2 linked regions of the Struthio camelus genome follow. The protein of the gene in region 1 interacts with the protein of each later gene in a pairwise test. Links are inferred from orthologs where the notes say so. Each region holds a gene or a part of one and is shown in the gene's direction. Other genes may lie near its edges.

Region 1 (15,374 bases):
GCATGCCTTTGGCTCTCTCTTATTCTGGTAGACAGGTTTCCCAACAGCGTATTTGGAATTTGATTTCCATTAAGTGTTTCCTTTACTGTCTGTATCAAAACTCTATACACTGATGTTAGCACTTTAAAATTTGTTCGGGCTGCTTACTGTAAATCTTTTGCTACCATAAGGAACACAAAAACAGCACATGAGTGAAGGCACAGGAAAAGAAAGGGGTAAGTTTCTTGGATAAACAATGGTAAACATTCATTCCCTACGAAAAAAAAAAGTGGTAAATACTATATAGGGCCCAGTTCATCACTGCAGCTACAAGTATGGCACAGAGACCCTTCCGATTCATACACCCCTGCCGCTCCATGGACGCACCCTACATTACTTGCCAACCAAAGGGAAAAAAAAAACAAAAACAAGGAGCACTCCTCCCTTAACATCAGCATTTAGAAGAACCCTCTGCTGAAAAGCTAAGCCCCATGAATGGATTTGGATCTGATTCAAAAGATTTGTAATTCGTCTCTATGTAGGCATTTCAGATGTGCTTACATCTAACAGAGCCAGTTAACAAGCCCAATCTAAATCAGAGTAACAGGCAAATGGTTACGTAGTGAACTTAACAACTGTCACAATTATTTTGCAATGGGCAAAGTAGTAATAGTATAGCAAGAAATTTACATCCTGTGCTAGCACCAATTTGGAAACCCAAATTCATATAAAAGTGCATACATTTCGGAGTCAGATCTGCTGCCAAATGTTTCAATTAAAATATTGGGGAAACACCTGCTCTCAAGAGGCATCTTCCTGAAAGGCAGTGCTGACAAACAAGGACAGGAGTTATAATTTTTTATTATTATTATTTTCCCCCCACATTAATTCAGTTCAACCAACAGATGTACTCCAAACATTTAGATGAAAAGTCACTTCAAAAAAAAAAAATATCGTTCATACACATGTGAACAAAATGAGATTGCTTACAGAAATCAGATTCTTAAAATTCTCACTACTTAGTGCTTTGTTTTAATCTCTCACTCAGAAGAGAGACCCCTAGCTTCACAGGATTACTGTATCCATGCAGATCCCATACTCTGACAGGCTACTTATACTCCAGTCTGAATTTAAAAAACAGTCAAGAGTCCATACTGTTTCCGATCCTATGACCCAAGCAGAACAGGAGACAACTTGCTGGGAGATTTCAGACAGTGTTTTACCAGTTTGAGGATACTTTGTAGACAAGTCCCAGCCCAGCCTGACTCACACTATGTCCACACTGACATTCCTTGTGTTCATCCTTTGACAGCATTCCCTATGCCAGAGCTCCAGTGCTGGCAGCTGCCGGAGACCGGCAGCTGACATTTTAAATGCTATGTCAGACCTCTGGCAGCTCCCTTTGCTGCTGCCAGAGGTAAAGCTACATTAATTCGTGCAAGAAAGCCCCCAGCAACCCCCAAGGAGATGAGGCCTTAAAGCCGCAGAACGCTACAGATGCTCAGCAGACAGCCTATTGCAAAACAAGGACAAGGTTGAGCTTAGAGAACCACAGAGCCAGCAGCAGAGAGGGTTTTAGGCCAAGCCTCCCAACAGCTCTGTACATACAACATCCCTTTCAGAGCTGAACATAAGGTCTAAAATTAAGATATTTTATTTAAGCTCCTCTTACTCTTGCAACAACCTGAAGCAGACAGAAAGCCTGCAGATGTGTTTCCCGTCTGTGACACCTGAGAATAAAACCAACAAGCAAAGGCAGAAAACCCAAGAAACCTTCTTCATTTAAAAGCTGCTTTAGGGATGTCTCACTGTGGCACACCCTGTGCCATGTCCCTGTGGGAATACGATGTTTGCTCTCTGCAAGCTGTATCTCCACAAGCAGAAAGCCACAGGGCTGTGCACACATGAGCATCCTGTGAAAGGATAGGAGGAAAACCCTGGCAGGAAGAATGACCCATAGCTAAAGAGCAACTCTTCCTCTTCCTAAAACTGCTACAGAATAACCCAGTCCCTCCCAGTATTTCCCAAACTACAAAGTTTCTTCCCTTACCAGGGAAGAAAATGACTTGTGCAGGCACAGAGCAATGCAGACAGGGTATCCAAGCCCTGTCACTAAGCACCACTTATACAGGAATGGGAAGAGAGGTGACAGCCCCTTCTTGCTGTCCTCCCACTACCCCTGCAGAAAAGGCTGGCAGGTTCTTATCCTGGGACAGGGCAAGGGGCCCCACAGCAGAGGCTGCAAAACGAGGGAACCCAAGGCTCACATCCTGCTGTGGTCCTGCCCTTGCACGCACCAGAGCCATGAGATGGCATGTGGCGAGGTCCAGGCAGCTACCGCTTTACAGTGACAGTCCTGGCACCTTGGGAAGAAAACGTGAAGAAATCACTTCTTATTCAGGGGAAGGCCACCCAGGATCATAAGTCTGGGTCAAGGCAAATGGTCCCTATGTGTTAGGTCTCGCTGAGGATGGAAAACCACCCCCTGCATGCCCAAAGAACTGTGAGCAGTATAATTAGCACTTGTCAGTAATGTTAAACATCATCAAATTTAATCTGAAGGGTCACTGGGAACCCCTACTGCAAGCCTGAACCGTTTAACTCTCCTGGGCTCAAGGGCAGCTATAAATACTTCGAGTGTCCATGCTGAGAGCAGTCCCACGTGAAGCTAAGCCACTGTTATTTTTGCACATTACAGAGTCTTATTTAGTGCTGCCTTTGCACTCTCATGGTGACTCTCCAAGAGCAATCCTCGTATGCCGTAAGTGTTAATTCAATGTTTTTTAATATACTGGCTATGTCACTGTAAGGTTTTTTTTTTTTTTGAACCTCTGAAGTCACTGAATGATTTCAGTGACTGACATTACCTTCACGGTATGCATTCAAGGCAATTTGCCTTTCTTTTTGCTTTCCCACACTTAAGCCTTTGTTACGTTGGTGCGGACAGACACATCTGCCCCTTGCCACCCCCCTGCTCTACAGGACAGGGTTAGATAACATACCAGCCCACGTTCCAAAAAGAAAAGAGGTATGCCGTACACCTTATTGGTCTGTATGCTTAGAAAGAGACAGCAGATTTCCTAGCTTGCGCACACATCTTAGGTAGAGGAGCTACGGTAGGCTCCCTACTGCACTCTGGCCATGAGCCTAAGGCATCAAAATCAGTGTGAGGTTTTCTGGGATCCCTCAAACTCTACATGATACCGGCCCACATCTGTTTCCAATCTCACACCACACAAAGTGAAAGTTGTCCTGCCAGTGCATATGTTTTACTCCCAGTACCACCAGGAGGATTTTGACAAGCGCATTGAGAGGTCAATACTTTTGTTTACACTGCTAATGCCAGAAACTGCTCTGTAGTTTTAAATACACAGTGTTGAAAATTGTAAGTCACATTGATGCTGCAATATAGCGTTAATACAGGAATCCTGGGTCCTGCAAAATTCTCCGCAGGATTTCTATTTCCCTGTAATTACACCTGTAATTTAACCTTCAAATCCCTTAGATAATTCATACATAAGATTAATGCTATCATGGAAAAGAAAACTAACTTCACAAGCTAATATCTTGAATGCTCAGTGTCTTGAAACTGGTGTAGGAAGATAATCTTTAACAAAAACGTCAACGAATCTTGGTTGCTGATTAATAATTAATTAAAATAATCTCCAACTGCTTTTGATTAAAAAGGACTTAAAAGGGATTACAGCGCTAGAGAACAGAGAAGCACTTGCATGCTCACAGAGATTATAGCAGAAAACACTACTTAAGAATAGCAAAACATTTACAAGACAATGTTTACAAGTTACCTTAAAACTGAGCTTTTTTTTCTTTAACCTTGTGAAGTTCAACTTCTCTCAGAGAAGGCTACTTACCTACTCTCCTACTACACCTACAAGACTGTCTCCTACAACAATCTCTTTAAAAGGAGTGCATACCTTTTCCATAGTTAATCTCCACAGTTAATCTAAAGCTTTAATTTGCCACAGCATTCTAACATTAGAGTAGGATTTTTTTTATTCTTAATATTCTGCACATACTTCTTTAGAAGGTAGACCACAGGCATTTTCCTTTTAGATACAGTTCATAGAAGATTATGCAATGATTCTTTATCTTTAAACAATATTCTGATTCCAGCTCTTGAGTCTCAACACATTCAAGAAACGATCCAATAAAAGGCTAAAATGTAAAAACCTCTTTCTAACAACAATTACAGAAGAAGTAAAAGTAATCAGTGGTCCCTTTTTAAAGACCAGTATTCACCAGTAATTTACTCCTTATTCCTAGATTTTTATTGGCCTGCTTCACATTTAGGGAGCTAAAATCCAAGAAATGGAAATCTAGCAAAAGGCATCTTTGGAGATACCTTCAGAAACCGATATAATTGTCTCTTCTCCACCTGACATAAATTCTACCAACCCCTCTTCTGCCCTTACCCTATCTTTACTTCAGCCATACAAAGGCAAATTTTATAGCTTTTTTTTTTTTTTTTTTTTTATCCGGAAAGGATTGGATGGCGCAGTCAGTAGGCAAGGAGACGGCCTAAGATTTTCTGAGAAATGCTTCAGAGCTGCCTGTGCGATTCTGGAAAAGTTACTTGAGGCTGAAACAACAAAGTGACTGGCAGTGCAATGCACTGGTGGATTGTGATATCCTGAACTTTTACAAATCTCTGCTTCCATCAGTAGAAGTGGACTTTCCAAAGACTGAAGAGGGGAGAGGCTTGCAGCTGCCTTCTTTAAAGCACTGACAATACAGAAGAGCTCTAAAACAATGCTGCATCTGGCCACGTTTCTAGTGTTAGCAAATATGAAATGGCTATTTCACTTTGCAACCCTTGGCAAATTGCTAATGAATATCAAACTTCAAGCTTTTTTAATAGAGCAAAACCATGAAAGACACGCACGGCTGTGCTGGCTCCATAAATGATAAGGTCACCAACCTCTGAAATGGGAACTAAACCTCCCACCAACAGTCTATTTGAAAAATCAGAGCTGAAGTGCTTGAAAGAAGACATCCCAAATGAATGATATTCATGTATGCTACCTCTTTACACAGGCTTTAATGAAAAAATTGAGGTAATATTACTGTGATCAAAACCAACATCAGTTTGTATTCTGACATTTACACATTTTCTTAAGATTTTGCACCCCTACCGTTTTGGCATACGGTTGAGCATAAGAGATGTATGTCAATATTCCCTCCATTTAGTTTTTACAACTTTTTTCACTACCCATCAAATCTTGGACATGGGTGTTGGAACAGCAGCATGTGAATTTTTTCACTGTAGGAGAAATGACTGAAGCACAGTTTTGAAATAGCCTATGGAGAGGGAGGTATCCAGTTCCCGCAAGCTAACTTAAAAGTTCATCCTCTCTTATAGCGAGGACATGCTATTTACTCTGCAACGTCAATGGAGCATAACTGTATTTTCGTTAACGTGATGTATGCCTTCTTGTGCTTCAGTGACGCATTGCACTAAACCTAGTAAAAAGTGGCACTTACAGTCACAAGTGCTGAAGTACGTCAGTTTTCAGTCATTCACTAATGAACTATCTCTGAATGACTGTTTGACAATCAACAGCCTAAGAATTTCACTTATACTCTCAAATCTGGTATCATTTTTAGCTTGAGATATCAGTTTCTTTGTACTGTTAATAACGAGTTAAACCTGTGCTATGTTAATTAGCATATACATAAGACCAGGATTCCCTCCATGAAACTTGAATTATGAATGCTCCTTTTTAAAGTCTCACATGCAGAGATTAAATACTGTAGCATCCACAAATTTCAAAAGCTCACAGACATTTAATTATTAACTAGAAATTATTACACCATTAAAGATGTTCTATGCACGCATGCTACACTTGGTGTTTGTACAGTTCTAATGGCTGGAAAAATCCTGATTCTTATCTAGCAGAGACAGTTTTGTGGTAGCTACCTCTTTATCCCGATAGCGTAATATATTTAAAGCCATCGAGTCTCATGGCTTTGCCCCTAGTCAAGCACAGAAAGCAGCAAAAAACATAACAAGACCGTAACACCTCAGGAAGTCAAAAGAAATTCAAAAAGTACCATCTCTGAAAACTTCTCACTCCAGGATTTTGGGTCCCTTGTGCAAAAGAGGAAAAATCCCTCAAGGTCTAGAGTCTTTGGCCCCTTAAAAAACCAAACACACAAAACAGGAGCATCAGTGGCGTAATGATAGTCACACACCATCCTCGGAGCCTCCCAGCCAGTTCCTTCACGACTGTATCTCCTTTCTCTTGCACGCCCACATGCCTATTCTGGCTTTTCCATTCGAGTACTCCCTTGCTGATTTCATGGATCTTTGGACACCACTGGGCAACAAAGGATCACCAGTGGGCTGTGCTTCTCTCAATATCTATAAATGTTGATACTACTTTTCATTATTTGTAGAATTATATCTTTGCTACCACCAAAATATTTAGTGAAGTCTCGCTCAAAAAACAAACTAACCCCTCAATCAGCAATATAACTGTTAGTCATTAACAAAAAGAAATCTTCTCTAAAAGACAACAATTCATTAATTTCATACTTCCTTTCTCATAAAAAAAGAATCATTCCATATCATTTCCCTCCTGTAGAGGGGTAGCTCTACAGAACACTGAGCTAACATAAAATATCATTAAAAGTAAGGTACTCCTAAGTTTCTGTCTAGGTGCTTCACTTCATATATTAGGGCTGGAATGTCTTGTTAAGATGAGGGACTTTAAGATGCTACACGCTACAACACCAAAGAGGAAGAATTCCTAACTCTAAGAACTCACTCACCTTTACTACATAAATAATTTAAACCCATCAATTTGTGTAGCCAAAACACATCAGGAGCAGGCTGAAATATTAAATGATTCATGTAAATATTCAGCAAGAGGATTTCTGTGCTTAGTTCAAGAAACAGAATTCATAAAAGCTATGAAATGTACCATCTACCATAACACACTTGTAAGATGAAAACAAAACTACTGACTTTGTTATTTATGGAAGTGTCCTCTTTGAACACTTTTTCAAACGTTCACAACTACATACTGACTCCAAAACATGCTACTGCTCACCTTCTAGAAAGCAGGATGACAGTCAGGAACCTGAGGAGTTACACATTTTATACTACAAAAAAAAATATAAAAGGAAAATGAGGTCACTTTATTTTACTTAATCTCCACAACAGAGTTCCAGTAATCCTGAATACAAGAGATCTCAAGAATTACCCTAAAATGCTAAACTTTTTGGACATAAAATCAAGAGGTGTTCTCAAACCTGCATTCTTCCACAAGAGGACACTAAAACAATGAGAAAAATATTTCTATGAAAACATATACCTCTTCTTTAACTGCAAAGTACCATGCTTTCCAGTTAAAGAACTATTTCACAGTTGACATTAATGTATAATTACTTTTTCCTATTGCGCATTCTAGTCTTTCTGAAGATTAATATTTGATTTCTAATGTGCCTGAGGTAGCACAAAAACACAGATACACATAAGTTTTTTGCAGACAAAACCAGCAACTAATGCATACCGAAGAAATATCCTTGTATTTCCTTTGAAAGTGCGCTGTTAGCCTTAAATTTACAACGAAGCAAGCACGTGCTTAATTTCACAGCCCTATTTCAAAGAACAGTTTCTGGGCACAAAGCAAGCGCGCGTGCGTTAGCAGGATGACACCTACTTTACCTTCGCACTCTTTCTGTTGGTTTCCAGCCCCGCATTCAGTGGTGGGTAAACCCCATCCAGGTGCGAAGAGAAAATGAGTAACGCAAACTGGAGGAGCTCACTGAAACCACAGCCCACGCCCTTCATCCCACTTTGCCACGGGGCGACGCACCTGCGCGCGGCGAAGCGCGTGCCAGTGGCGTGGCGCGGCCCGCCGGACTCTCGGGCGCCCTTCCGCGCCTGCCCTGCCCTTCCGGCCGCCCTAGGCCCAGGCCTCGCCCGCCTCCAGCGGGCCGGCAGCGCACCGAGGCCTCGCACCCGCCGCCTCGGCCCCGCCGTCGCCGGCGGGCGGAGAAACCCCACGCCCGAAGCAACCCCCCTCCCCCCCCCCCCCGTAAACTCCCTCCCGCACCTGAAGGGAATCGCTCACTCCTCAGCGTACAGCTCACAACCGCCTGCTCTCTCTCGCTTACCGGGCACAACTTAACTTTACCCCTTCGCTCATCCGCCCGACCTGCCCCGCCAACCGCGAAGCTTGCGGCGGGCAGAGGCCGCGCCCAACGCGCGGTCCAAGAGCCGCCGCCGCCGCCGCCGTCCCCCCGCGCAGGGGCCGCCACTGCCCCCGGCCCCCCGCATCGCACTGCCCCACACCGCCCGCCCCGCCCCGCCCCGCCCCGCCCCGCGCGCGCAGCGGCCGGCGCCGGAGCTGGGGCCGTGGCGCACCCGCGCGGCGGGGCCGGGCGAGCAGGCGGCGTCGCCGCGCGGTCTCGCGAGAGCGGCGCCGTCGGCCATTTTGCCATTGATTGGCGCCGGCGGAGGGCGGCGGCGGCGGTGGGGGTGGAGGCTGCGCCGTGGGCGTCCCCCCGCCTCCCGCTGCTGACGACGGCGCCGCTCCGCTCCGGCTGCTGCGGGCCGCGCCACCGGCCATGGTGCCCAGCGAGGAGAACCAGCTCGTCCCCAAAGAGGTGAGGCGAGGCTGGGGCGGAGCGGAGGGGGCGCGGGGCCGAGGCGGCTGCCGCGGCGGGCGGGCAGGCAGGCAGGCGGCCCGCGGAGCTGGGCCCGGCGGCGGCGGAGGCCCGGCCTAGCCCGGCCCGGCCTGGCTCGGCTTGGCATGGCCGTGCGCGGCCCGGACCGGGGGTGCGCCAGGGCCCGTCGCCGCGAGGGGGGCGGGAGGTGTCCGCCTGTGGGGCCGGGCAGAGCGGGGGCTTTCCCGCGTGGGGAGGCCGGTGCGCGGGGCCTGGGGCGGCCGCCCGGGGAGCTGCACCTGTCCGCGCCGCGGCGGCGGCCTGCGTGCGGGCCCGGCGCGGCCTCTGGCGAGGGGGGGGCAGCGGCCGGGGCCTGCGGAGCCCGGCTGGGCGAGGAGGAGGGGAGGGTCGCGGCGGGCCCGGCCGGGCCGGCCCCTGGCGGCGGCGCTGCGTGCGCTGCGGCCGCCGAGGGACGGGCACCTGCCTGCGAAATGGCAGCCGGGAGGGGCCGGTGGCGGCGGCGCCGCACGCCACGGGCAGCGCTGCCCGGTCCCGGGGGTGGGCTGGGCTTCCTGTGCCGTGGGCCCCTCGTCGGCTTTGCCGCGGGGAGGGAGGGAGAAGGACTTGCTTTTGGCCGTAGGCTGAAGATAAGAGCCTGCTGAAAGAGGAAGGCTGAGCCTCTGTCCCGAGATGATAGGCAAACGACACGTGTCAAGTGCGACAGATACCGCTCAGGGCGGGCGGAGGGGGAGAGGAGCTCCCCCAGGGGTGGTGTGAAACGTTTGGAAACAATTATTCATAGAGCAGTGTTCACAGAAATACTTCAGCAGGAACTTTACTTCGTGAGCAGGTATACTTACGTATTCAGTCAACTTTTTGGCCGTTTTACTCTTCTGTTAAAATTGTTCAAGCCACTCCTGTCGTTTTTCGTCAAATGTCAGTGGTCTGTTATATCTGCCTGTTTCATAACGCATACGTACGGGAAGCTCTGTGAGGCAAGGACTTTAATTTTATGGAGTTTAGCAAAACAAAGTGATGATCCTTGAGCACAGCTGTGAAACAAACAGCAGTACTGAGTTTCGGAAACAAATTTGTGTATATGGAATTGTATGGGTAAGTAAAGGATATCTATGGATCAAGTAAACTTTACCTCTTTTTAAAAGCCAAACATTTAAGAGACTAAATCCCTTTACAGGGGGGAAAAAAGTCTCTAAAACATAAGACAAGCAATGGCGTATAATAGCTAATATACCTAAATAGTTCATTTAAAAAGGGAGAACATAGAAATAAAGGAGACACGCAGGACAAGTCTTGTGACTTCTGTGGTAGATAAGTGGAACAGATTAGTTGATTAATAACAAACAGCTCAGCTAGTTTCTTAGTTATATATATTAATAGTATCCCTGTTGACTTTAAAGTTATATTCAGAATATACGTATGATTCAGATGTGTATTTTTAACTGACTCATTGGATAGGATTTTACACGCTCTTTTATCTGTAGGGAAGGTAAGCATGGGTAAAGGAAGATGAATATAAAAAAATTACAATGATTACAGATAGGGCCATCTTAAGCATACAGTATGAAATCTATAAACTTTGTTCGTTGCTAATGATACAGAGAGTTGCTTCCTTTTTTTTAACAAGTTTTCTCAAGCTCTATATTATTCCCCCGTGCATTTTGCAAATAAACAAAATGGAGCAATGTTGAGAATACTGTAAATGTGATCGTTTGTTCTCTGAAGAGTCAGTTCTGCAACATTTTGGGGATTTGTTTAACAACTGATGGAATTTTCATGGAGACTGTAAAAAAAAATCACAAATAGGTATTTTGATGAGAGAAACGTTAACTGTGTTAAATCCATCTAGTAAAATATATGTCAAAATGTAACTTTATCATCAACTTTTTCCAATATATTTCAGTATTTCCTCATTTTAGTTTCAGTGATAGGAAGATTAACAAGTGTTATGCTATAACGTTCACATTAAAACCTTTGGAGATTCTTAATAGTCTCATGGCAGAGAATAGAGTTATGGGTGAACGGAATTCTCCAGGTCCAAGTTCCAGACAACCGTCCCTTAAATCTTCCTGTTATGCCATTATCAACAGTCGGAGACAAAACAGATCTTTTGGAGTTTCGGTTCTGCTACTTTGGGGTGGATAAAGGATTACAGTTCATCTTTCTTGTCTCTTCCAAAAGGGCTGAGTGATAGTGCTTGTGAAGCTCAGTGTCTTCTGCTGTTTCAAAGATAAAGCTGGGATATTAACCAAGGTCTCCTAAATATCAGTACACTGCCATATTTTTTCCTTTGCGTCCTGATATAGAAGAGCAAGAAGAGATCTGTTTGCTTTGGGCCAGTCTGGGGAATGACTAGTCAACTAAAGGACTTGATTTTTGTTCTTGACTACAAGCTTATGTAATGCCATGGTAGTATATGGTAATAGGAGTTATTTATAGTATTAACAGCCTCTTTGTTTTAAGAGGAGAAATATAGGGGTGAGGTTATTTATAGGCCTTCAGTTTGTGTATGTATGTATATATATTCATGCTGCCAGGAGATGAGATTGCAGTTTTTAAGGTGTAATACTTTTTTTTTCGTAAGTTTTTGTAGACAATAATAGAGAATAATGGAAAATACTAGTAGTTATACTGCTGTGCTCAGACTTGTTCTTATTCATATTGGTATCTTACAAAAATTGTACCTTTGAGACATTATTCAGTTTGCATCTCTGAAGTAGACCTGAAACTTATGTTGGGTGAATCTAACTCAAATACAGGATAATAAAGTACTCTAATCAACACAGTTGATGAGAAAGATGTGTATGTTTGCTTGCTGATAATGTGAGTAAATTTTACTGAGATTTCTGTTGAAAATTAACATGTACCAGAACTCAGAGGGAATTGCCCAGACTTCCATAATTGATCAGAATTTAAAATGTATGTTTTGCTGTGAGCTTTGGAAATGTCTGTGCCAATAAATTTAACAATGCTGCACAGATACTTTTTCAACATGTTCCAGCATGAACCATCCAAAGTACAGCTGTCAGAATAAATATATGTGCTTCGTACTTGGTACTATTAAATCAAAGAAAGTAGTGGGATTGCTCTCTCACAGCTAACTAATGGGAGTTCTTTCATCTGTAGACTAATGAATCCATGTTAATCTTCTGCACTGAAAAAAATAAAAGATGTTTCTTGATGGCTATCACTTCAGCTTCTTCTTTAGAAGAACAAGAATCCGAGTAAGGTGTTTTGTAATTCAGTTTACTAAAAGGGTACTGTTCTTTTTAATGCTGATGACATTGTCATCGTTCTATTCCAGTGTATTAAGAGATTCTACTAGTATTTACAGCTTGTGTAACTTCTCAGTTTTTCCCAGCTTCCGTTCTGGTGTGCTCTGTCGTAAAGCACGAAGGTACCATTGCGACAAGGAGAGAAACTGACCGCTTCGTTGACCTAGCGAATACTCTGGAATTCAGGTTGAAAAAACCAAACATAGAAAGTATCCAAACAGAACTCCACAAAATCGTCTGTTCCTTGTGAACAAACATTCTCTGAGTGATATTCATGTAGTAATGTAATTTGATGAATAGGGCATGAGAGTAGTACGTGAGATCTTTCCCCACCTAGGTCAGCCTCTGGGCTTATTGGTAAACTCTGCAGGTTAGTTCCCCTTTCTATATATCTGGGTATTTAATCTGTAGTATAAGAAAGATAATCAGGATAATTATCTAATAGTACTTTGAGGTTGTCTGATGAAAAGATTTTGTATAAGAGACAGTTATTTGCTGGTCTTTGAATGCCAGCAAGTAACCGGCATTTAAAAACCTTGGTCTTTAAATGCTACTAGCTGAAGTTATCACTCAGTGGCAGAATATGACAATTAAATAACTTGTCACTTTAATTTTTTGTGGAAATAATACATGTTGAACATCACTGCAAACAAAAATGCAGTTTTTGCTATTATTTTGTGATTTGGTGGTAATTAAATTTGGTAAATCAAATGCATATAGTATTATGATAGTTAAATCCTTAACTTTTTGTACGGTTATGCACTCTTTCTCAAACTTGTTCCTGGTAATGGGTTTTTACTTAAGACATGAAGTAGTTCTGTGGAGGCAGAGAATGCTTTAAATATCTGTCAGTATTAAATTCTGCAGAGATATACTGGCTTGTATGCTGTCTTTCTTTAGCTTGGAATTTCAGTGTACAACAAAACTATTTGGTTTTGATATATTTTGTTGCCATTTTTAAATAGATATAGTTCATTAATTCTGTTTTTCTGTTTTTTAAAACCTAAGTACCTGTGCATTTAGATCACTGTTGCATTACATCGTGGTTTAAAAGTATAAATTTCCCTCCCTGCCCCAGTTCTGATAAAAATCATCATTATCCAATTTCCTTTTGCTGATAAGAGTATACTGACATTAATATTAACAGCAAAACTTGCAGACACTTGCTGAAATAGTCCTTTACCTTGACTCTGTTACCTGCTTGCAAGTTTTAGTCCTGTCAGAATTGAAGCCTTTTTTTTTTTCCAGAGGTTATTTTGAAGCTTTTTTCCTAGTACTTTAGTATTGATACAGTAATGCACTAAAACATGTATAAGATGTTCATGTATCCAGTAATAGCTCCAGTCCTCCTGTTGTATTTGAAAATATGTTGGTGGATATATAAGAAAGCAAATATGAAAGTCACATCTCTAGAAATTGAGTGATTGAGTTATATATTCAGGCTTCTTACTCAGTTTGGAAAGGTCTGAGATTCTTATAGCAAGAACTTCAAGCTGATACCAAGGGCTAGTATCAAGCCTTTGAATATCTGTATGGTGTGCTATCAGGTGAGCTGCTTATTTAGTAATTTATTACTCTTTTCTTGTCTTGAGCGAAACAATATTCTCAAAACAATGATATTCTCAAAGCGATAATATTTGAGTAGAACTAGAGAACTGATCATTGAAAATACTAGAAAGTCTTTAAATTTTTCCTGTAAACTTTCAGGTAAAATGGTAAACGACTTGATCACCGTTGCAACAACTGTTTATGACATAGTATTTTCTATGTTCATGTTTTGCAGTGATTTGCATGTAATCAGCTTGTTTTGAACAAATGGTCTTGCTCAGCATTTGAAGATGAAATAAGATTTAGGAGGACATTAAGGGGTAAAATCAGCAAAAGGATCGCTTGGTTGAATTTAATCAGGGAGGATTGTGACTGCAGTGTGCAAGGCTTCTTTAGGTTTGTCTGAAAAATCACAATAAATTTTAGATTGGCAGTTCTCTGAAATAGCTTAGAACTGGTTATTGTGCAGTAGTTCAGCAGAATGTTTTCTTTGACGTAAATTATTCTGTAGGTGCACAATTTGAACCCCTTAAAAGGAAATATACTATGGCCAAGTAGTTCTTTGCATGTCAAAAGGAGCATTCTTGAAGTAGAACCTGAACATGAAATATCTTCTCCATAATCAGATGTAATGAAAGTCTTATATGCTTCTTCATGTTACTTAAATGAATTCTGTAGGATTGGTGAATGTTCTAATTTTAAAAGTCAGGTAAGAAATAAATTTGATATACTATGAAAATTTTCACTGTAGATAATGTCTAAAAACAGAGGTATAAATAGCAAGATTATTTTTAGCTTCTTTGCATCCTTTGGAAGGAGAAGTACTGTGGAATACTGCAGGAGCTCAAGGACTGGAAGGCAGATACATTTATAGATTTGTGTAGATATTGTCATGAGGTCGGAAATAAAGATTTAAATTAAAATGAATTTTAAAAAGCAGATATAGTTGCTTAAAATGGGAACTGTTTTTCATTTGTAAATAAAAATTTCATTCATATATATATGTGTGTATATATATATATTTATATGGGTCCTTCATATCATTTGGGTCCTTTCTCATGCATACACTGTCAAGACTATACGTTCATAATTACACCTATATCTCTTAATCAAGAACACAAGTGTTTTGGCAAATTAGGAGCCTAAGAAGTGTTATAATAGAGTAAAGTTCATGGCAATTCCTTATTTAAAAGATTGGACAGTAAGCTTGAATGCACATCCCCTGCTACTGTGACTCTCTGTAGGAAATGATATGATTATAGGATGACATAGAGTGCAATGAGTATCCTGTTGTGTTCCTACATTACATATTTTTTTCAGAATGTTTTTGAATTAAAACAAGGAGCAGGGTGATGTTAAAGAAAACGAAGGCAAGATGCAAACTAAATGAAGCAGTATAAAGATGAGGCTGATTCCGATCCAAATAAAAAAAATTGTACTGTAATGACTGTATAGAGACTGGCAAATAATTTGCAGATGCATAAGACTTCATTTGCGGTATTATAGATGGGTACAAAACCTCCTAGAAACGAAATGACTCAGGGTCAAGGAATGAAGGAGAATATGATCATCTCAAATTACAACTTTTAAGAATAAGAAATATGCAAACTGTCCAATGGTTGAGAGAAGCCAATCATTTAAATTTTAAAATTATTTTAAAATTTCTCACAGAAGTGAGAGAAGTAGGAAGCAGAGTTCCAAATACAAAGTAAAGCCATTTGTTGAGATTTGATGGGATAACTCTAATTTCCTGTTCTTTTCATTTTGGGGGTGGTTGGTTTTTTTCTGGTTTTGCTTTTTTCATTTGTTAAAGTTCTTGTGTGTTTTGTAGACATGACCAGGAGACGTTAGTTCTGCTGTGTTATTGACAGTTGCTGCATTTGCCTTTTTTTTTTTTTTAATGGAAGTAGTTAATCTTGA
Region 2 (14,567 bases), on another chromosome or scaffold:
GGGTTGGGGAGCTGCTGGGGGTCATAGGGGGTCCAAGGAGGTTGCTTGGGGGTTGGGGGGGGCCAAGGAGGTTGCTTGGGGGTCTGGGGGTCGGGAGGGCTGCTGGGGGTCGGGGGGGCCAAGGAGATTGCTTGGGGGTCTGGGGGTTGGGGGGGCTGCTAGGGGTCGGGGGGGCTCATGGAGGTTGCCTGGGGTTCGGGGGGGCTGCTGGGGGTCATAGGGGGTCCAAGGAGTTTGCTTGGGGGTCGGGGGGCTGCTGGGGGTCATGGGGGGCTGAGGGAGGTTGCTTGGGGGTCTGGGGGGGGCTGCTGGGTTCAGGGGGCTCAAGGAGGTTGCTTGGGGGTCGGGGGGGGGCCAAGGAGGTTGCTTGGGGTCATAGGGGGCACCCAGGGAGGTTGCCTGGGGGTTTGGGCGGGGGGAACTGCTAGGGATCCCCATGACACCCCCCCCTTCCGCCCCCCCACCCCAGGCCACCATGCTGTTCGCGGAGCTGACCTACACACTGGCCACAGAGGAGGCCGAGCGCATCGGCGTCGACCACGTGGCCCGAATGACGGCCACCGGCAGCGGGGAGAACTCCACAGGTTGGGGACACGGGGAGGGGGGGACACAGGGGGGACAGGGACACGGGGGGGGGGGGACAGGGGCGCAGGGGCTGGGGGACACAGCCCAGGTGCCATGAGCTAGGCTTGCGAGGGAGCACGGGGACACAGTTGGAAAAGGGGACACGAGGACGAGGCGAGCAGGTCCTGGCAGGGCCGGAAGGGGTGACACGAGGGACCTAGGGGACACCTGGCCCTGACCCCCAACCTCGCGCCCGCAGTGGCTGAGCACCTCATCGCCCAGCACAGCGCCATCAAGATGCTGCACAGCCGGGTCAAGCTCATCCTGGAGTACGTGCGGGCTTCCGAAGCCGGTGAGTTGGGGATCCAAAGGGGGGACAGAGGTGTCCCCGAAGGGGACAAGGGCCATGCCGGGTGCTGACGTGGGTCCCCGCAGGCGAGGTGCCCTTCAACCACGAGATCCTGCGCGAGGCCTACGCCCTGTGCCACTGCCTGCCCGTCCTCAGCACCGACAAGTTCAAGACGGACTTCTACGACGTGAGCGACCCGTTTTGGGGGTCCCCGTGTCCCTCTCTTGTGTCCCTGTCCCTAGGAAGCACCTGGGAGGGTCCAATCCTCCGTGGTGGGTGGGTGAGAAGGGGGGGTCACATCCCGCTACTAGGTGCTCAGGACATCCTTGTCCCTCCCCCTGTGGCTGTATTTACATCGGGGGGGACCATGGGGTAGTTTTGGGGTGACAACAGCCTCGCTAACCCCCCCCCAATCGTGTCCCCCCCCGCCTTGTCCCCAGCAATGCAACGACGTGGGACTCATGGCCTACCTGGGCACCATCACCAAGACCTGCAACACCATGAACCAGTTCGTCAACAAGTTCAACATCCTCTACGACCGCCAAGGCATCGGGCGCCGCATGCGGGGGCTCTTCTTCTAGTGGAGGGGGAGGGGGAAAGGAAGACCCCTCCCCCAACCCCTGGACACCCTCTTCCTCCCAGAACTGTGTCCCTCCTCCCTGGAGCTGGGGGTGGGGGGGGAAGGCGCAAGGGGACAGTCCCCACGCGTCCCCTCCCTAATAAAACGCGGTTCCGGGGCAGGAATTAAGGGCTCCGGTGGTGTCACTTTGTCCATCCCGTGACCCTCCCTGCGGTGGCAGGGCTGTCCCCAAGGGAACGGGTCCCCGAAAGCGGTGACAGGCAGATGGTGGCAGCAAGGGAGCCACGACCCTGGCTCCAAAATCAGTAAGAAGCAGGTTTTTATTAATAAGAAACAGGAGAGAAATTGTAACAGTACCAGAAGATGACAGGGCAAAGGTGACGGAAGTGCCACAAAGCCAGAGCCTGTCCCATCCCCCCCAAGGGGACATCGCCGCATGACCCTGCGTCACCCAAAGGTGACGGAGAACACGTTCTTGTGTCAGACGAGGGTGATGGTGGGGGGGGGGAATGTCCCCATGTCAGGTAACGCCAGGACGCGTCCCGGTGGCAAACGAAGGTGCCGCAGGGGGCTGCTGTCGGGTGGCAGGAGGACTTGGAGGGGAGGGCATTAGGTTGTCCCCGCGTCACACGAAGGTGATGCGAGTGCGGGCCGGGTTCACCTGCAGCACGTTGAGCTCCTCGTACTCGTCGAGCGCCGCCTGCACCTGCGCCGGCGTGAAGCCCTTGGCCAGGCAACGCTGCAGGGCCTCGGCGTAGCGCACCGCCCGGCCCTGGCCCCCCGCCAGCTCCCGCACCGCCGCAAAGATGGCGTCAGCTGGCCGCTGCATCCTGGGGACAGGTGACAAGGGTCAGGGTAGCTGCTGTCACCCCGGCCGCCCCAGGGATGCGGTCAGGGTTGTCCCGGCTTCCCTCCAGCCACCCTGGGGAGAGGGTCTGGGCTGCCGCCCTCCTCTTAGCCGTCCTACAGCCACCCAGGGGTCAAGGGGACAGGCATAGGGCTGCCCCGGGACAGCCACCACCTCCCTGGCCACTTAGGGGACGTGGGGATGGGGTCAGGGCTGCCCTAGCGCTGCCACTACCTCCTTGGCCATCCTACAGCCGCCCAGGGGTCAAGGGGACAGGTATAGGGCTGCCCCAGGACAGCCACCACCTCCCTGGCCACTTAGGGGACGGGGTCAGGGCTGTCCCAGGATGGCCACCACCTCCCTGATCACCCCATGGCCACCCAGAGGACGGGGTTACGGTTGTCCCAGTGCTGCCACCGCCTCCCTGGCCACCCCACGGCCTCCTGGGGGACATGGGGCCAGGGTCACGCCACCTCCCCCTCCCCGTGGCCCCCCTCCTGCTCACCGGCTGTGCTGTCCCTTGTCCCCCAGCAGCGAGTCCTTGGACATCTCCATGAGCCGTATGGCCTCGTTCACGTCCTCCTTCTCCACCGTGTCCACCAACCGCAGCCGGGCCTGCAATAAACAGGGTGAAGAGGGGCGGGTAGGGGGTCAGCAGCCACCAGGGTCCCCAAAGCAGCCCCCCCACAGCCCTGGGGCACCCCAAAAATCACCCAGCACAGCCACAGAGCCTGCCAGGGCTCCCCATCGCAGCCCCGAGGTGCTCCCCAAACCACTTCAGTCCCCAAACCGGCGCCACGTTCCAGGATGGCGCAGGGGACGCTGAGGGACGGCAGGAGCCGGCCCTGGTGCTGGCCACATCCCCGGAAGGGACGCTGGGAGCCGTGCCGGTGCTGGCCGTGCCCCGGGGGCTCTGGAGTGCTGCCTCGGCAGTAGATGCCGCACACACACTACCTGCACAAACAGCACTTTGGGGCCCCCGGGACTCGTCGGGGACAGGGACACGGACGCGGCACGGTGACCCGACGGCCGCTGCAGCTCCGTGGGACCACGAGGGCTGGCCCGGCTCGGTCTCCCCACCTTGCCTGGGCTCATCCTGCCTGTTTTTGCCTCGTTTTACCCTGGCCGGTCGGACTTTGCTGGTCTGGTATCACCTCACCTTGTCCCATCGCGCTCCGTCTCACCTCGCCGAGCCTCGTCCTGCCTTGCCCGGCCCTGTCTCACCTCGCCTGGTCCCCTCTTGCCTCGCTTAGGCCACGCAGGTCCTTCTAGGTCCTTGTTTTAACCCCATCTCGCCCGGCCCTGCCTTCCCGCACCCGCCACGGGGGCTCACCAGGGCCGTGGCCAGGCGGAGGATGCCCAGCAAGGTGCGGGCGGACGTGTAGGTGGTGTCCTTGTTGGCCCAGGCCTCCTTGCGCATCTCCACGTAGGCGGCCGTGATGTAGTCAGCCAAAGCTTCGGGCACGGCGGGCTGCTTCCGCTTGCACATGGCGATGTAGCGCCTGAGGGGTGAGAGGGGCAGGGTCAGGCCCGCGGAGGGGACCTCACATCGCCTCCCAGCGTCCGTGGGTGGGCAGCTCTCACCTCATGAGCTTCATGTCAAGCTGCTGGAAGGAGCAAGGCGGCTGGCGGCTGTGCTGGTGCACGTAGGTGATGTGTTGGGCCAGGCTGCGGGGCGGAAAAAAGTTGGGGGCAGGTGCCGGAGTCGCCCCACGGCTCCCGCACGCACCCTACAGCCCCCAACCCAGCCCCATGGCTCCCACGCAAGCTTCACCGTTCCCCCAAACGCATTCTCCCACGGCCTTGCGTCCGGTCCCACAGCTCCCACGGTCCCCTATCCAACCCCAGTTCCCCGTCCCGACTCACCGCAGGTCGTTATCGCGGTCGGGGCGGTCCTGGATGAGCCAGAGCAGATCGAAGCGGGACAGGAGGGCAGCGGGTAGCTGGATGTTGTGCTCCAGGCTGCGCTTGGGGTTGTAGCGACCGTAGGCCGGGTTGGCGGCAGCCAGGATGGCGCAGCGGGCGTTGAGGGTGGCCAGCACGCCCGCTTTGGCGATGGAGATGCTCTGCTGCTCCATCACCTCGTGGATGGCCGTGCGATCGGCTTCGAGCATCTTGTCGAACTCGTCGATGCAGCAGACGCCCTGGTCGGCCAACACCAGCGCGCCGCCCTCCAGCGCCAGCTCGCCCGTCAGCGGGTCGCGCAGCACCGCCGCCGTCAGCCCCACGCCCGACGAACCCCGGCCCGTCGTGTACTGGCCTGGAGGAGCACAGAGGGGACCAGAGCTGGGTCCTCGCATGGGGGACAGCGGCGAGAGGCCCCGGGGAGGCTCGGTAAGGGGGGGGTCCCAGCCCTTCCTAGCCCTCCCGTACTCACTGCGGGGTGCCAGGCGGTCGATGTAGGACAGGAGCTGCGATTTGGCCACGCCGGGATCCCCCATGAGGCAAATGTTGATGTTTCCTGGGTGGGGGGGGAAGGGAAACGGTGAGTCCTCAGGGCAGACACTGTCCCTCTCTGCCATCAGGGACGGAGCCGTTTCATCCCTCCACCCCGAATCCTTCGGTCGCAGCTAGCGAGTCCCTTTCTCATCCCCTCAGGCTCATCCCGGACCCCGAAACCTTCCCGCGCCAGAGGGAAGAGGCCCTCGGAGCCGCGTCTTCCCCACCCAAACGCCCTGCCGGCGCGCAGCAGCACGGCTTCACCTCGGATCTTCATCCCGTGGGGGCTGCGGTCCACGCCGCCCACCAGCAGCAGCAGCAGCGCCTTCTTCACATCCTCGTGGCCGTAGATCTCGGGGGCGATGGAGGAGGCCAGCTTGTCGTAGAAGTCTTCTTCTGCAAAAGGAGCGAGGGAGGGCATTGAGGGCGGCCGGCTGCCCTGTTGCAGGACAGCTCTGGGCGTTTTTTAAACCTAGTTCGCGTGCATCTCGGGGTGCCAACGGCTCAGCAGCGCCCAAAATCTCACCTGTGATTTGTCGGAGCTCCTCCTCGGTCAGCTCCCCAGCCCCTGACTCGTCCTCCTCGCTCTTGTTCATCTTCACGATGCGGTGGGCCTCCAGGTAGGTCTCTGAGAGCAGCCCCTGGGGGACAGGAGGGTGACGGCGGGCTCGGGGCAGGGCCACCGCAGCCCCCCACCCCAGCCCGTCGCGGCAGCGCTTACCTGGGTGACCTGGCGGAAGCCGGTCTTCAGCAGGGGCAGGAAAACGCCGGTGACGCTGACGTGGTCACCGGGCTGGGCCAAGCGGGTGTTCTCGCCGTGCACAGCCACGCTGATGGAGCGGGGTAGGTGCCCCACCGGCACCTGGTCGGTCTGCGGAGGGCGGTGGGTGAGCGCGGTGGGTGAGCGCGGTGGGTGAGCGCGGTGGGTCCCCAGCTCCGCCGTCGTGTCCCCTCCCCACGGCCCGGGAACCGGCCGTTCCGCAGATGCGGGTGCCGGGAGCCGCAGCTGGAGCTTGCTGCCGTCACCCCCGAACCAAAAATCACCCCCTGCACCAGTACGAACTGAGGGGAAAAAATATGACCCAGGTGTCCTGGCGCCTTGAAGCCTGCAGGGGCCACTCGCGATGCCACCAGCTCTGCGCTGAGTGACAGCGCCAGGGGAAGGGTTATCCCCCTCTATCCTGCGCTGGGGGAAAGCTCAGCTGGAGACTGGGACCAGTTTGGGGCTCCCCAGTGCAGGAGCAACCAGCTGCGGGGCTGGAACACTGGGTAGGAAAAGAAATGCCAAGAGGCGGCAGGGAAAGGGGGTTGCGTTGATGCCATCGCCTCCTCGACGAGGCTCGGGTCGTCCTCAAAGAGGAACGGGGACGAGGCCCAGACAAGAAGGGACCTTCTGTCCTCAGCTGGATACCAAAGCCCAAACCGCGGTCATTGAGGAAAACCCCAAAATTCCCTCCCAGCTCTGCGATCCTGGTTGAAGGGATCTCTTCCCCACCCACCACCACCCGAAAGCCCCGGAGCCACGCGCCGTGGCGTCCCGTCGCTTCGTGTTCCTCACGTGTTCCTGCATCTTCAGCTCCTGGAACTTGATGAATTTGGAGCCGCGACTCTGGAGGTAGAGGCGGCCGCCGGAGCGGTTCGTCTGGCACTCCCGGCTCGGACACATGATGAGAGGCATGAAAGTAGGCGACTGGATCTACGGAGAGCGGCAGAGCTCAGCTGATGCCCCTTCCCGCTTCCCCCTGGGGCTGGCGGGAGCCACCCGTCCCTGCCGAGCTTACGGGCTGGTAGGTCTCGGCTCCGCACTGGTCGCAGCTGTAAGTGGCCACGATCATCATGGGTTTGACCTCAGTGACGCGGGTGACGATGCCGCGGACGGTCACCAGCTTGCCGATGCAGTCGGCTTTGACGTCGCGGACCACGCGGGCTTTGGCTGTCGACGGGGCTTTGAAGTAGAGCTCGCTGGGGCGGGAGGGACGGGGGTCAGGAGGGGGGACACCAAGAAGACAGGGATGGGGACATGGGTTAGGGGGGAACGTAGGTGACAGGATGGGGGTTTAAGGTGGAGGAATCAGAGGAGATAGGAATCGGGAATTAGAAGCGATGGAGAAGAAAGAAAAGTGGAGATGGAATTAAAAAGGAAACAGGTATAAGAATTAGAGAAAAAAGCAAGACAAAAACAAGGCAAAGAAGGGATGGGGCTTCGCGAGGACGCTCGGGGACAGGGATGGGGTTGGCGGGGACACCGGGGTGGCAGCCTGGTCCCCCTCTCAGCACTCACAAGCGTCGCAGCAGCTCCGGGGGATACTGGTTCTGGGGGCTGCGGGTCTCACCGGTGTCGCGGCCTCGCTGCTCCAGCAGCAGCCGGTGCTCGATGTAGACGTCCAGCACGTCCTTGCGGGACACCTAGGGGTAGAACGGGGACAGGGAAGGTGTCAGGAGGGGACAGCGGGGTGTCCCCACACCTCCCCGCCTCGGCTCTCGGGCACCTCGCGCTCCTTGTACTGGGGCAGCAGCTCGTGCACGGCGTCGGCGAAGAGGCGGCTGTAGCGCTTGGCGTTCTCGCACACGGCGTCCGCCAGCTCGGGGTCGTCCTCGGCCACGTCGTCCAGGGCCACGTAGAGGGCCACCTGGTCCCGGTGCGCCAGCGCGGCCTGCGGGGGACAGGGTGGGAGGGGTTGGGGGAGCGAGGAAGGACCCCCGGCTGGCACGGGGGCATCACCCGCAGCTCCAGCGGGTGACAGGAGAGAGCCTGATTCAGCCTGGGAGGGGGACAAGGACCCCCCATCCAGCCCAGAGGTGGCACCCGTGGCTCTTCTAGGGGGACGAGGGACCCCCGATCTCACACGTGGGTCCTCCCAGTGACACTACCAGCGCAATGGGGACAAGGACAGACCCCCATCCAGCCCAGAGGTGGCACCCGTGGCTCTTCTAGGGGGACGAGGGACCCCCAATCTCACACGTGGGTCTCCCAGTGACACTACCAGCGCAATGGGGACAAGGACAGACCCCCATCCAGCCCAGAGGTGGCACCCGTGGCTCTTCTAGGGGGACGAGGGACCCCCGATCTCACACATGGGTCCCCCCAGTGACACTACCAGTGCAATGGGGACAAGGACAGACCCCCATCCAGCCCAGAGGTGGCACCCGTGGCTCTTCTAGGGGGATGAGGGACCCCCAATCTCACACGTGGGTCTCCCAGTGACACTACCAGCGCAATGGGGACAAGGACGGACCCCCATCCAGCCCAGAGGTGGCACCCATGGCTCTTCTAGGGGGACAAGGGACCCCCAATCTCACACGTGGGTCTCCCAGTGACGCTACCAGCGCAATGGGGACAAGGACGGACCCCCATCCAGCCCAGAGGTGGCACCCGTGGCTCTTCTAGGGGGACAAGGGACCCCCGATCTCACACGTTGGTCCCCCCAGTGACACTACCAGCACAATGGGGACAAGGACAGACCCCCATCCAGCCCAGTGGTGGCACCCGTGGCTCTTCTAGGGGGACGAGGGACCCCCGATCTCACACATGGGTCCTCCCAGTGACACTACCAGCGCAATGGGGACAAGGACAGACCCCCATCCAGCCCAGAGGTGGCACCCATGGCTCTTCTAGGGGGACAAGGGACCCCGATCTCACACGTGGGTCTCCCAGTGACACTACCAGCGCAATGGGGACAAGGACGGACCCCCATCCAGCCCAGAGGTGGCACCCGTGGCTCTTCTAGGGGGACAAGGGACCCCCGATCTCACACGTTGGTCCCCCCAGTGACACTACCAGCACAATGGGGACAAGGACAGACCCCCATCCAGCCCAGAGGTGGCACCCATGGCTCTTCTAGGGGGACAAGGGACCCCGATCTCACACGTGGGTCTCCCAGTGACACTACCAGCGCAATGGGGACAAGGACAGACCCCCATCCAGCCCAGAGGTGGCACCCATGGCTCTTCTAGGGGGACGAGGGACCCCGATCTCACACGTGGGTCTCCCAGTGACACTACCAGCGCAATGGGGACAAGGACGGACCCCCATCCAGCCCAGAGGTGGCACCCGTGGCTCTTCTAGGGGGACAAGGGACCCCCAATCTCACACATGGGTCCCCCCAGTGACACTACCAGCGCAATGGGGACAAGGACAGACCCCCATCCAGCCCAGAGGTGGCACCCATGGCTCTTCTAGGGGGACAAGGGACCCCCAATCTCACACGTGGGTCTCCCAGTGACACTACCAGCGCAATGGGGACAAGGACGGACCCCCATCCAGCCCAGAGGTGGCACCCATGGCTCTTCTAGGGGGACGAGGGACCCCCGATCTCACACGTGGGTCCCCCCAGTGACACTACCAGCACAATGGGGACAAGGACAGACCCCCATCCAGCCCAGTGGTGGCACCCGTGGCTCTTCTAGGGGGACAAGGGACCCCCGATCTCACACGTGGGTCTCCCAGTGACACTACCAGCACAATGGGGACAAGGACAGACCCCCATGCAGCCCAGAGGTGGCACCCGTGGCTCTTCTAGGGGGACGAGGGACCCCCAATCTCACACATGGGTCTCCCAGTGACGCTACCAGTGCAATGGGGACAAGGACAGACCCCCATCCAGCCCAGTGGTGGCACCCGTGGCTCTTCTAGGGGGACGAGGGACCCCCGATCTCACACATGGGTCCCCCCAGTGACGCTACCAGCGCAATGGGGACAAGGACAGACCCCCATCCAGCCCAATGGTGGCACCCATGGCTCTTCTAAGGGGACAAGGGACCCCAATCTGGCACGGCGCTGTCACCGGTGGCTCCGTGGGGGGACAGGGGCGGGAATAGCCCCCCCCCGAGGGTCCCCCCACCCCGGCCCGGTGCTGCCCCATCTCTCACCAGCTGGTCCCGGTACGGGAACTCCTTGCCCAAGTCGCCATCGCGGTAAAACTCCTGCAGGAAGCGCTTCACCTTATCTGCGGGAGGGAGGGGACATGTCAGGCCCGGTGTCCCGGTGTCCCCACGCCCCCCCTCCCCCGGGCCCGGTAAACAAAGCCACAGGTGGTCGCCCGACCCCGGAAGTGCCCCGCGCTGCCGGTCCCGGCTTCCGGGGGGGGGGGGTCTTCGTACCCTTCTCGGCGGTGTAATCGCGCGGTGCCATGGCGGGGAGGTCTACGGGGACCGGTGGGGGTCAGTGTGGTTCCGGTTCGGCGTCTCCGGTACGGGTGCCCGTAGGGGTGAGGCCCAATCAGTGAGGCTCCGGTTCTGTGCGTCGGTACGGGTCGCGGCAAGGGTCAGTGACGGGTGGCCGTAAGGGTCAAGCCCGGTCAGTCGCGTTCACGGTTCGGCGGCCCGGTACGGGACCTTGCAGGGGTCAACGCCGCTGAGCGCCGCCACTCCGGCTCCGGCCGCCGCAACCAAAAGTGGCGCGAAAAGGCGCCTCACGTGGCGCCCGCGGGCCAATCCGGGGCCGGCCTCGCCCCCTTCGCCCCGCCCCGCGCGGCCCCGCCCAATCGCGGGGCGAGGCGGCCCGGCGCGGGCTCCGCCTCCTTTGGGCCGCGTCACGTGACTCCCGCTTTCCCCCGCGCGGCCGGACGGGACCGAGGTTCGGGGAGACCCGCGGGGGGCCCTGGCCCCGCCCCCTCTTAAAGGGGCCGCGGTTGCGGGGGGGCGGGGCCGGGGGGTGCTGGGTGCTGGGGAGGGTGGATGGGGGGGTCTGGGGGTGCTGGGGCCTTGGAGGGGTGCTGGGGGGGTGGATGGGGGGCACTTGGGGGGTGCTGGGGCCTTGGGGGGGTGCTGGGGGCTGGATGGGGGGTCTGGGGGTGCTAGGGCCTTGGGGTGCTGGGTGCTGAGGGGGGATGGGGGGCTCTGGGGGTGCTGGAGCCTTGGAGGGGTGCTGGGTGCTGAGGGGGGATGGGGGGATCTGGGGGTGCTGAGGCCTTGGGGGGGTGCTGGGGGCTGAGGGGGGATGGGGGGCTCTGGGGGTGCTGGAGCCTTGGGGGGGTGCTGGGTGCTGAGGGGGGATGGGGGGATCTGGGGGTGCTGAGGCCTTGGGGGGGTGCTGGGGGCTGGGGGGGTGGATGGGGGCTCTGGGGGTGCTAGGGCCTTGGGGTGCTGGGTGCTGGGGGGGTGGATGGGGGGCACTTGGGGGGTGCTGGGGCCTTGGAGGGGATGGATGGGTGGTCTGGGGGTGCTGGGTCCTGATGGGGGAGCACTTGGGGGGTGCTGGGGCCTTGGGGGGGATGCTGGAGGATGGGGGGGGATGGGGGGGGTCAGAGGGTGCTGGGTCCTGATGGGGGAGCACTTGGGGGGTGCTGGGGGGGTGGATGGGGGGCTCTGGGGGTGCTGGAGCCTTGGGGGGGTGCTGGGTGTGGGGGGGGTGGATGGGGGTGTCTGGGGGTACTGGGTCTTGATGAAGGGGCACTTGATGGGTGCTGGGTCCTGGTGGGGTGGGGAGCAGGACCTGGAGGGCGCAGAGCTCTTTCGAAGGTGCAGAGCCCTGGTAGCACCCAAAGGTGGCCAGAGGGTGAGTGGGGGGGGTCTCGGGGTGAAGGAAGGGGGGGAGGGTCCCACTCGAGCCACCCCCTCCGCCTCCCGCCAGGCCAGCGATGCTCTCCCAGCTCTTCATCCTCTCCTCCAAGGGCGACCGCCTCATCCATAAGGACTGTATCCTGCTCCAGCGTGGGTGCTGGGTGGGTGGGATGGGGTGAGAGGTTGGGGAGGGGTCCCCCTTGCCCCCCCTGCTCCCCACCTTCTTCTGCTTCTCCTTAACCGCAGACCGGTCCGTGGCGAGGCCGGTGCCACCAGCCAGGACCTCGCCGACACCTTCTACAAGAAGATCACGGCTTTGCCGGGCGACCAAGCTCCCGTCTTCATGGTGAGGGTGGTGGTAGGGTGCTGAAACGGGGTGGTGGTGGGGGAGGGGTCCCAGCACCCTTCCCAGCTCCGTTTCGCCCCCCCCACCACCCACCCGCCACCTCCGCAGGTGCACGAGGGCCGGCACTTTGTCCACGTGCGGCACGCGGGGCTCTACGTGGTGGCCACCGCCGCGCCAGATGCGTCGCCCTTCACCTTGGTGGAGTTCCTCAATAGGTATGGGGAGGGGGGGTTTTCGGGGGGTGGGGGGGACACACCGGGGGACAGGAGGGGACGCGGCAGAGTGGGGGGAACCCGTTGACGGCCCGCCGGCGCAGGTTGGTGACGTTGCTGCGGGACTGCTGCGGGACCCTCAGCGAGAAGAACGTCGCCCTCAACTTCGCCCTCGTCTACGAGCTCCTGGACGAGATGCTGGTGGGTGGGCGCCTTGGGACACCCTACGGGGTGACGGGGACACCCCTAGGGCGTGGGGTTGTCCCTGGGGATGCCTTGGGAGGGACACAGGGGCCACCCCGGGGGGAGCTGGGGACATCTTGGGGTGGTGGTGACCCTGCTGGGGGCACTATGGGGACAGTTTGGGGACAGTTTGGGGGACTGGAGCCACCTCAGAGGGAGGTGGTGACACCCTGGGGTGGTGGTGACCCTGCTGGGGGGGCTATGGGGACAGTTTGGGGGACTGGGGCCACCTCAGAGGGAGGTGGGGACCCCCTGGGGTGGTGGTGGACCCCCTGAGGGGGCTATGGGGACAGTTTGGGGACAGTTTGGGAGACTGGGGCCACCTCAGAGGGAGATGGGGACACCCTGGGGTGGTGGTGACCCTGCTGGGGGTGCTATGAGGACACTATGGGGACAGTTTGGGGACAGTTTGGGAGACTGGGGCCACCTCAGAGGGAGGTGAGGACACCCTGGGGTGGTGGTGGTGGCCCTGCTGGGGACAGTTTGGGGGACTGAAGCCACCACAGAGGGAGGTGGGAACACCCTGGGGTAGTGGTGGCCCTGCTGAGGACAGCTTGGGGGGGGGGACCAGGGCCACCCTAGAGGGAGCTGGGGACATGATGGGGGAGGCCAAGCGACACTCTCCTGGGGCTGGGGACAGCTCTGGGGGTGATGGGGACACCTGAGTGTGGTGGGGACACCCCCATGGGGTGACGGGGACATTAGAGGGGGGTAGTGGGAACACCCTAGAGAGAGAGCTGGGGGGCCACCTTTGTGGGGGGGGCCACTCAGGAGCATCTTTAGGGTGCTGGGGACAACCCAAAGGGGCTGAGGACACCCCTGGGGGAGGGGGGGACACGGGGACATCCCTGTGTGTCCCCCCCCCCCCGCCAGGACTACGGTTACATCCAGACCACGGCGCCCGAGGTGCTGCGCAACTTCATGCACACGGAGCCCGTGGCCACCAAACCCTTCAGCCTCCTGGACCTGGGCTCCATCGGGCTGGTGAGCACCCAACCCCCCCCCCCAACCCCACCCATGGGTGCCCTCGCACCCACGTCCGGCGAACGCCCCCTTCCTCTTCCTCCTCCTCGTTGCAGTTCGGCGCCGAGACGCAGCAGAGCAAGGTGGCCCCCAGCTCGGCCGCCAGCCGCCCCGTGCTGCCACCTCGGGGGGAGCAGGTAGGACCCCCCCCCTGCCGCCCCACCCGATGGGTGTCCCCGTGTCCCCCCTCCCCCCGCCCCACGGGTGTCCCCGTGTCACCGCCGACTGTCTCTGCGGCCACAGGGCGCCAAGAACGAGGTTTTCGTGGACGTGGTGGAGAGGCTGACGGTGGTCATCGCGGCCAACGTGAGTGGGGACGGGGCCACCGCTCGGTCGTCCCCCCCCAGTGTCCCCTCCCTCCCACTCGTCCCCCCACCTCCGGGCACCTCGACCTGGGGGTGTCCCCTGTCTCCGAAGCACTTCGCGTCCCCCCTCATGTCTCCCCCCAGGCAGCTTGGCTTGGGGGTGTCCCCTGTCCCCAAAGTGCCCCGCGTCCCCCTCGTGTCCCCCCCCAGGCAGCTTGGCTTGGGGGTGTCCCCTGTCCCCAAAGCGCCCCGTGTCCCCCCTGTGTCCCCCCTCGAGGCACCTCAGCTCAGCCTGGGGGTGTCCCCTGTCCCCAAAGTGCCCCACGTACCCCGTGTCTCCCCCCGAGGCACCTTTGCTCGGCCTGGGGGTGTTCCCTGTCCCCAAAGCACCCCGTGTCCCCCCATGTCCCCCCTCCCAACACCTCAGCCTGGGGGGGGGGAATCCCATGTCCCCAAAACGCCCCGCGTCCCCCCCAACCCCGGCTCACCCCTCGTCCCCGCGTCCCCAGGGGACACCCACGAAGGTGGACGTCCAGGGGGAAATTCGCCTCAAGTGCTACGTGCCCAGCTGCTGCGGTGAGCGGGGGGGGGGGGGGGGGTCCCCAGCGGCATTGGGTGTACGGGGCTGGGTGTCCCCCCCCACCCCAAAACCCGCCACCACCGTGTCCGTCCCCCCGCCACCCCGGTGGGTGACACCGCCGCGTCCCCGCAGAGATGCGCATCGGGCTGACGGAGGAGTTCTGCGTGGGCAAGTCGGAGGTGCGAGGTGCGTCCCACCCCCCCCAACTCCCCCCCAAGGGGGAAAAAAAAACCCTAAACGTCCTTTTTTGCCCCCAAAATCGCCTCCCCCCCCCACCAAGGCTACGGCACGGCCGTCCGCGTGGATGAATGCGCCTTCCACGGCGCCGTCAAGCTGGACGAGTTCGAGAGCGGCCGGGTGCTCAAGGTGACCCCGAGCCAGGGTGAGGTGAGGATTCGGATGGGTGGGGGGCACCCTAGGGTGATGGGGGGGCACCCATCCTGACCCCCTTTCCCCCTCCCCACCCGGGGCAGCTCACGCTCATGCAGTACCAGCTGGCGGATGACATCCCGGCGCCTTTGCCCTTCCGCCTCTTCCCAACCGTGGACCGGGACGCTGCGGGCAGGTGAGGGTGGGGG

The links.
Region 2: the proteins of USP47 (region 1) and AP4M1 interact in binary tests that used the Homo sapiens proteins (3 or more experiments, as listed by UniProt). The two-hybrid records come from large-scale screens. The link is inferred for Struthio camelus from reciprocal best matches to the Homo sapiens genes USP47 and AP4M1.

Annotation. Positions count from the first base shown.
Region 1 is NC_090946.1:24,844,605-24,859,978, forward strand, and holds the start of USP47 (ubiquitin carboxyl-terminal hydrolase 47), read left to right. Parts: upstream 1-8,424; 5' UTR 8,425-8,574; coding exon 8,575-8,613; intron 8,614-9,240; exon of another isoform or gene 9,241-9,463; intron 9,464-15,374. Other genes in the region: uncharacterized protein, read right to left, coding at 7,670-7,795. UniProt on the Homo sapiens protein: Ubiquitin-specific protease that specifically deubiquitinates monoubiquitinated DNA polymerase beta (POLB), stabilizing POLB thereby playing a role in base-excision repair (BER). Acts as a regulator of cell growth and genome integrity.
Region 2 is NC_090978.1:593,118-607,684, reverse strand, and holds the start of AP4M1 (AP-4 complex subunit mu-1), read left to right. Parts: upstream 1-10,267; 5' UTR 10,268-10,354; intron 10,355-11,159; exon of another isoform or gene 11,160-11,275; intron 11,276-11,350; 5' UTR 11,351-11,357; coding exon 11,358-11,415; intron 11,416-11,531; coding exon 11,532-11,626; intron 11,627-11,734; coding exon 11,735-11,841; intron 11,842-11,942; coding exon 11,943-12,039; intron 12,040-12,954; coding exon 12,955-13,065; intron 13,066-13,160; coding exon 13,161-13,241; intron 13,242-13,347; coding exon 13,348-13,410; intron 13,411-13,918; coding exon 13,919-13,985; intron 13,986-14,121; coding exon 14,122-14,175; intron 14,176-14,269; coding exon 14,270-14,376; intron 14,377-14,462; coding exon 14,463-14,554; intron 14,555-14,567. Other genes in the region: COPS6 (COP9 signalosome complex subunit 6), read left to right, coding at 470-584, 824-916, 1,000-1,100, 1,354-1,494; DNA replication licensing factor MCM7, read right to left, coding at 2,119-2,323, 2,846-2,955, 3,674-3,842, 3,925-4,008, 4,207-4,600, 4,718-4,801, 5,044-5,175, 5,306-5,420 and 7 more. UniProt on the Homo sapiens protein: Component of the adaptor protein complex 4 (AP-4). Adaptor protein complexes are vesicle coat components involved both in vesicle formation and cargo selection. They control the vesicular transport of proteins in different trafficking pathways.